Linked DNA regions of Oryctolagus cuniculus. The protein of the gene in region 2 purifies or fractionates together with the protein of the main gene of each other region. This does not show direct contact. Links are inferred from orthologs where the notes say so. Each region holds a gene or a part of one and is shown on either strand. Other genes may lie near its edges. The genes, in order: DKC1 and DDX21.

What was found.
Region 1: the proteins of DDX21 (region 2) and DKC1 purify together in Homo sapiens (co-immunoprecipitation; 3 studies listed by BioGRID and IntAct, with this or other methods). This does not show direct contact. The link is inferred for Oryctolagus cuniculus from reciprocal best matches to the Homo sapiens genes DDX21 and DKC1.

What each region holds. Positions count from the first base shown.
Region 1 is NC_091453.1:133,384,326-133,388,143, forward strand, and holds part of DKC1 (H/ACA ribonucleoprotein complex subunit DKC1), read left to right. Parts: intron 1-634; coding exon 635-726; intron 727-883; coding exon 884-1,068; intron 1,069-1,502; coding exon 1,503-1,567; intron 1,568-1,892; coding exon 1,893-2,019; intron 2,020-2,200; coding exon 2,201-2,331; intron 2,332-2,427; exon of another isoform or gene 2,428-2,557; intron 2,558-2,786; coding exon 2,787-2,930; intron 2,931-3,818.
Region 2 is NC_091446.1:60,756,283-60,760,100, reverse strand, and holds part of DDX21 (nucleolar RNA helicase 2), read right to left. Parts: coding exon 3,764-3,818; intron 2,509-3,763; coding exon 2,391-2,508; intron 1,327-2,390; coding exon 1,141-1,326; intron 331-1,140; coding exon 185-330; intron 1-184.

The DNA.
Region 1 (3,818 bases), on a different chromosome or scaffold from region 2:
TGCAGTGTTTTTAGGCTTTTAGGCTAGGGTAAAAAGTTAGACATCCCTCAATCCTGTAGTTTTCATAAAGCTTTGTATGTGGGATGGTAAAGAATGATATTTGCTTGTATGCTTTAATATACTTGGGTGTCTGCTTAGCCAGATATTTCTGTCATTTAGCCAGCATATGCTTTTCTATTGTAGACCCTAGGGATCTGCTACTAAACAGGGTAGCCAAGCTCCTTGCTCTCATGAAACTTAAAATCCAGGGGTGGAAGATAGGTAAAAGAGGGTTTGTTTTTTATGAAACTAAACTGGTGATGAAAGTTGGGCTTGATCATCATTTTGGCTACTTTTGTCCCTCAGAAAATCAAAACTGTTGCATGTTTTATTCATAATCTTGCAGTGAAGCCAGTCTTCTTCATAGAGAATAATGAGTTCAACTTACCAATATTCTAGTTAGTGTGATTCTTACTAATTTGGGTGGTGTATAAGGAGCAGAACAGTTTCACAGCAGATACTGGAAATACAGTAGCAAAAATGCAAATTCAGGAATGTGAAATGTTAGCATATCATGGTTGATGATGGTGCTGGCTGTTACATGTGTAAATGGTTTATCATTAACACTATTTTGTATTGTATTGCTGCTTTCTAGAATTTTGACAAACTAAATGTCAGGACAACACATTATACACCTCTTCCTTGTGGCTCAAATCCTCTGAAGAGGGAGATTGGGGACTATATTAGGTAAGTGTGTTGGGAGCAAGCACTGTTGATAGAAACCTACAGTGGCTTTGTCTTGAATGTATAACCTGTTCGCGTGGTGAATTTTTTTAACTCTTCAGGTTTGTTGTTTTATTGCAGCATGAGAGCAAATGGTACATTAATTTTCTGTCCATTCTAGGACAGGTTTCATTAATCTTGACAAGCCCTCCAACCCCTCTTCCCATGAGGTGGTAGCCTGGATCCGACGAATCCTTCGGGTGGAGAAGACAGGACATAGCGGTACTCTGGATCCCAAGGTGACTGGCTGTTTAATCGTGTGCATAGAACGAGCCACTCGCTTGGTGAAATCACAGCAGAGTGCAGGTATGTGAAGACAGAAGGCAGGTTTACCTCCACATTTTGCCTCTTGGAAATTTTCTTCATTAAGGGGAAAAAACCTACCCTGAAGCATGGATATGCTTTTTGTTTCTGTGTACCTTCTGTCCTCTGCCAGATCTTGGTGGGTCTACATTTGGAGTTCATAGAGGCATGTGTTGATAAATTCCGTTCATGCCACTGAGGCAGAATTCTTTCCGAGTCCAACTCTTGTCTTGTTCCAGGTTCCTTTCACGTTATGTTTCTGTGAAATCTGCACCAAGACACTGAATAATGTTGAGCTCCCAATGTCGTCGTTCCATTCCTTTCCTTTCTTTTCAAAATGTCTGCTTTTCCTGCTGTGCAAGATGGCAGCTATGGAGCATATAACAAATACAGAAAACTGAGTGGCCACACCTGACTACTCTTTTGTCATTTTTCAGGCAAAGAGTATGTGGGAATTGTTCGGCTGCACAATGCTATTGAAGGGGGTACCCAGCTTTCTAGGGTAAGTCTCTCACTTTAGGGAAGGGAAGTTGGGTCTCAGCCCTTGAAGCCTTTGGAAACAGCCACCTTTCGTGGCTGACCATGCTCCTGCCCTTTTCAATGGGCTACCCCATCCAGCCACATCCCTTCTGAGGAGCTGCTTCCCATCAGCCCTGAGCCGTCCCAGGGGTTGAAGAACGAAGCAGAAATGGAAAGAAATGGCTTTTTAGTTATTTTGAAGAAAACCTTTTATGTTTTGTATCCTTAAGCTCCCCAAATATGCCCTCTCATCTTATTTAAGAGGCCATGTAGGGAGAGTGCTTGTTTCTATTTGTGCTTATTCTCAGGCCCTAGAAACTCTGACGGGTGCCCTCTTCCAGCGACCCCCACTTATTGCTGCAGTGAAGAGGCAGCTCCGAGTGAGGACCATCTATGAGAGCAAAATGATCGAATATGATCCGGAAAGAAGATTAGGTGGGTTGTTGGGTCTTTGAGGAACTGAGTTATCACAGGCCGCATTGGGTAGGAACTCATTCTGGAAGGTTCTACGGTAATCTTTGAAAATACTATGTGGTGAGGTCATATCATCTCTAGGCTTGATGACTTAGAAGCAGACTAACTCTGGAAAATACTCTGTATTGTGTTTATGTCTTAGGCATATTTTGGGTGAGTTGCGAGGCTGGCACCTACATTCGGACACTGTGTGTGCACCTTGGTTTGTTATTGGGAGTTGGCGGTCAGATGCAAGAACTTCGAAGAGTTCGTTCTGGAGTCATGAGTGAAAAGGTGTGTCTTCATGGAGCTAGAAGTTTTAGAGCTGGTTCTGGGTATCTTGCAGCCCCTGGTGGAACTCTGCCTACTTCACACCCTGGGAAAGGCCACTTCCAAAGTGTTGAGTTCAGTTCAGGGCATCTTCCCTGTTCTGTTAATTAAACTTTGGTACACTAAAAGGGGTTTGGAGATAGAACTGGATAGAAAGTATCACTATTCGTTTATCTCCCAGCCTACAGCAGTGCTTTCATAAAGTGAATCTATAAACAGTTACAGGTGTCCAGAAGGGAGGTGAGTATGAAGACGCTCAGGGTTCTTCATGAGCTTGCACTAGTGGAAGAGATGCATGGTATATGAGTGTCACAAGTGGTATCTTAATTATGTGGCCAAATGCCCGCTGCTGTTTGTGGACCTGTGAACTGTTGGAGATCTGAAGACACTGAGTTTTTTCCTATGTACCTGCTTTTCAGGACCACATGGTGACAATGCACGATGTGCTTGATGCTCAGTGGCTGTATGACAACCATAAGGACGAAAGCTACCTGCGCCGAGTTGTTTACCCTTTGGAAAAGCTGCTGACATCTCATAAACGGCTGGTTATGAAAGACAGTGCAGTAAGTTCTGCGATGGGAATGCGCATTTGAACAGAAACTGACTCCAAAGATAGGATATGGTCTTTTCTTCTTGGAAACTCTATGTGCCTAAGAAACCTTGACTGACTTAAATTGTTCTAAGACAAAGTTAGTTTAATGGGGAAAAGTTGAGATTAGAGAGATTCAGAGCTGTAACAAAGTTATTTATCCTGTAGAAGTTTGAATAAAATATTTTGTTAGTGTAAATAAAACATAGTTTGAGGCTGTGAAAGCGAAACTTCACTGAGGTTATCAACCTCTTTTTTTTTTTTTTTTTTTAAAGATTATTTTCACTCAGGTGGCTGTAATAGCCAGAGCTGAGGCAGATTAAGGCCAGCAGCCAGGACCTTCCTGCAAGTCTCCCATGAGTGCAGGGCCCCAAGCACTGAGGCCATCCTTCACTGCTTTGCCAGGTGCATTAGCAGGGATCTAAATGGGAAGTGGAGCAGCTGGGACTTGAAGCAGCGCCCATAAGAGATGTAGATGTTGTAGGCAGTGACTTTACCCACTATACTACAGTGCCAGCCCTACAAGTCCTTTTCTTAACATATTCACTAACTTGCCTTTTACTTGAGAGTATTCCTATTAGCAATGCAAGTAAATATTTTTCAGTTGGGGTTTCTTTTGTAGTGGTCATTTTAAGAATAAGTTTCTTACTTTCCAAGTAGTCCAGAATTTGTTAAGTATGATCAAAGAATGTAGTTTATAAATTTTGTTAAAGACTAGGCAGGCATGAAAATTCTCTAAGGAGAGAGTAGAATATGGGTAGCAAGAGATCTAGATGAGTGAAGATGGTATAGCATAAGGCAGATAGATTCCAAAGTGCTGTTGAACTGAAGAGGTGGGCTTCTACCCATTGGCCTATAAGTT
Region 2 (3,818 bases):
ATAATTCAAACAGATTTATGTTCTATCAGACAAAATTTAGAAAACACACACAACTTGAGTAGAATGTCTTCACTGGGCCCTTTACATGGAAAGCATTTGTGTTTGCCAGTCCTAATTACCCTCAGACATGAAACAAATGATATACAATTTCACACTAATTCCGGCAACTAAATGAATCATTTACCTCCACAGTTATTGCTGTTTTCTGAGTCTTTTTACCAATCAGGTCCACCTGTTCATATGTAGCTTTCATGTATTTCTTAGCAACATTAAATACCCAATGAGGGCATGTTGCAGAAAAAAGCAATGTTTGGGGGTTGTCTTCAGAATCTTTGGGGGGAAAAAAAATCAGTATGAATAATCAAAACAAACCTACACAGAATTCCACTTCACTCAGTTCTTCCAGGGTTCCCAACAATCATTAGCAAGCCTCATACTGAAGACACAGGTAACACGTTTTCCAATGGACACAGAAATAATGCTTCAATCATTTATGCAATGGTGAAAGTACTTTAACTTACTTTGCTTTCTGAACCCTGGCCTTAATGAAACACCAAGGAAATCCGTCCAATACAGTGAGAACAACCAAGTGGACAACAGCAATTCAAGAAGCCCAGCAACCAGTTAATACAGATCACCAGACAAACACCCTCTCAGACACACCAGAACTGTGTCTGAACTCATCTCTATACTGCCTGATGTTTGAAACTATACCTTATTTGTTCTTTGTGGTCAACTACTATTTTTTGTTTGCACACAAAGTTGCATCATAGTCTCACATTTCAAATGGCAGGGTAAGCTGGTACAACCCTTCTGAAGAATAATGTACACTGAGTTGCAAGAGCTATTTACAACTTAATTCCACTTATGGAAATCTAGCCAAAATAACCAACTTCAGATATTGATGAGGTGTGAGGAAAGCTATCTGCATAAACATGACTACAAGAATTATGAAAGTGACAATAAACAGAAAATAGAATTAAATCATGGCCAATTACTTCATGAAGCAAATCTATGTGGAATTAGTAAGTCCTCTTTCAATTTTCCAAGGCTTTGCCTTTTTTTTTTAATCTCTTAGATGACTATTTCATCATCTTCCTTTGGTCTCTTTTATATCGGTTTCTTGAATTTGGGGTTTACCTTTCTTGTATGCCACTTTTAAAATGTCTTCCACTTGATCAGCAAAACCCATATCCAACATCTGGTCAACTTCATCAAGAACAACATGCTTAAGTTTGGAGAGATCGAGCTTGCCATTCTCTAGATGGTCTTTGATTCGACCTGGTGTCCCAACCAGGATATCAATCCCATTCCGCATGCGTTCAACTATAAAGAACATCAATGATAAAATTTACTGGATTTTTAGAAGTCCTTTTATCAGTCTACACAATTAAATATAACATGCTAAGTAATGAAGATGAAGACCATCAAAGCATTCCATCTAGTAGAGAAATCATGTAAGAAGTCACAGTCTAGTGTATTAAGTGGCATAACACATGTCCACAAAAGCAACTGGAAAGAAATGACTTCCTTGGCTGCAGAAATTATCAAGACACAATGAGAATTAAGAATCTTAGTGCCAGCACCGCGGCTCACTAGGCTAATCCTCCGGCACACCGGGTTCTAGTCCCGGTCGGGGAGCCAGATTCTGTCCCGGTTGCCCCTCTTCCAGGCCAGCTCTCTGCTGTGGCCAGGGAGTGCAGTGGAGGATGGCCCAAGTGCTTGGGCCCTGCACCCCATGGGAGACCAGGAGAAGTACCTGGCTCCTGCCATCGGATCAGTGCGGCGCACCGGCCGCGGCGGCCATTGAAGGGTGAACCAAAGGCAAAAGGAAGACCTTTCTCTCTCTCTCACTGTCCACTCTGCCTGTCAAAAAAAAAAAAAAAAAAAAAAAAAAAAAAAAAAAAAAAAAGAATCTTAAAAAAAACAGGAACTTTCTACGAGGTGAGACAGACAGAAGTGCAAACTTGCAAGACTATACAGAGATTCGTAAAAGGAGCTGTTCAGTTTTAACCAAGAAGAGATGGTACACTAGTGTATCTCCTGAGCTGCTACTGCCGTCAAGGGGTTCAGTCAAGGTCTTCAACAGAAAAACAATGAAATCATGGAGCAGAGGGTGCAACAATAAGCCCTAGCACCCCCAAGAAAAGCAACCTTAACCGCATCAAGAAAAAAGCAAGGATACAGAAATAGGCAGAGATCCAAGGTCTTGAGAAATCAAAATAAATAATTTGTCCACAGGACTCAGTTTCTTGACCACCTTTAAACAATGGCAAAAGCAAAGCATCATCTGTAACTAGACCAGCTAAAGAAAAAAATGCCAAAAGGTCAAAAGGGAATCTACTCTGCATCTAAGGCATTTTCCTCCCCCTGTTTTTGAATTTACTTACTTTGATTTCCATACGGAGTTCCACCGTAAAAACAAGCTACTGCCAGTTTTTTTGTGATATCACTGAAGTCTTTGCTTACTTGATTTGCCAGCTCCCTTGTAGGTGCAAGAACCAATACCTGTAAAGGAAAAATTGATACCTGAATTCAAAGCATTATGCAGTACTGGTTTCCTAATTACTGGTTTTCCTAATTACCAGAAAGCTCAATGCATCCTACCCTTTTTGATATTTTCAAAGCATCTACTTTGCATATTGCAATAGCTTGCATAGAAGGATCCTATAGTTCTTGATAATTACACTCAGGAGAAAAACTTGTGACCACACCAATCCCAGGGGCCCAAATGCACTAAGCAGCCTGCTTGAACTGGGGCAAGTTTCACAGAGCTGCTAATCCTTCAAGTACAGCATTCTAGTAAAAGAACAATCTGATCAAGGAGCAATACTGATGATGACAGTTAGCTACTATCTGTGCTTTTACTGTGTCTGAGGCTCACATAAACCCTTATATGCATTATTCTGATTTAATTCTCACAACCTTTGGAGGTGGGTATTAGAAGGTAATTAACAACCAAAACCAAAAAACCCAAGAAGAGGCAGAGCCTGGATGTAAACTCAGGCAGTCTGACTCTAAAAGCTGTAATCCTCATCTCTGCACTACATTAAATCCTAGAGCTCAAACTCTGGAGTGGTCTTGAGCCTGATGTGGGACACACAGCACAAAACCACTACAGATCCTCAAGTAGAACGGCATAAACCAACCAACTCAGGCACTCACCCAGGTGATATTTACTACCCTCTATGTGCCAGGCACTGTTTTACACAGTGATAAACAAATTAATTGAGGAGGAGGAATGGACACTGGAGGGCAGGGAGCTAGTGACGTTAAGACAGAAAGGCAAGTGCAAGAACCCACAGCTGAGGTAACAACATGAACATCATCAGTGATTAAAGTTAAAGGTCGTCAGATGGCAGCTTCTCTGAAAAATGAGCCCAACAGCACTATCCTGATAAGGAGGCTTGGCCTAATCTTTACTCAGGTGCCCTTCCTCCTATTCCTGTCTCTCAATTAAAATTAATTTTCTCCAGGCAAAAATGGTCACTGAACATTTTAAACCCCAGGGACATGGAATGGTTCTAAGGGGCTATGAGGCACACAGGTGACCACAAGCATGGCCAGATTCTAACATTTAAATACACAGGGCTTGTCTTTCAAAAATGATCTCATTTACCTTCCCATAAAGAGCCACTGCAAATACAATGAGTAACTTTAACGGAAACTCAATTTCAAAAAATAGGGCACATAAATAATTCCCAGGAGATGTTTTTCCCTACGCTGTCTGGAGCCTCTGAGGCCTGTGTTTTGAGATAATTACCTGAGGTGGACGGCCCCTTTTCCTGTCTTGCAGTTCTCCCTGAAGTTTCTCAATC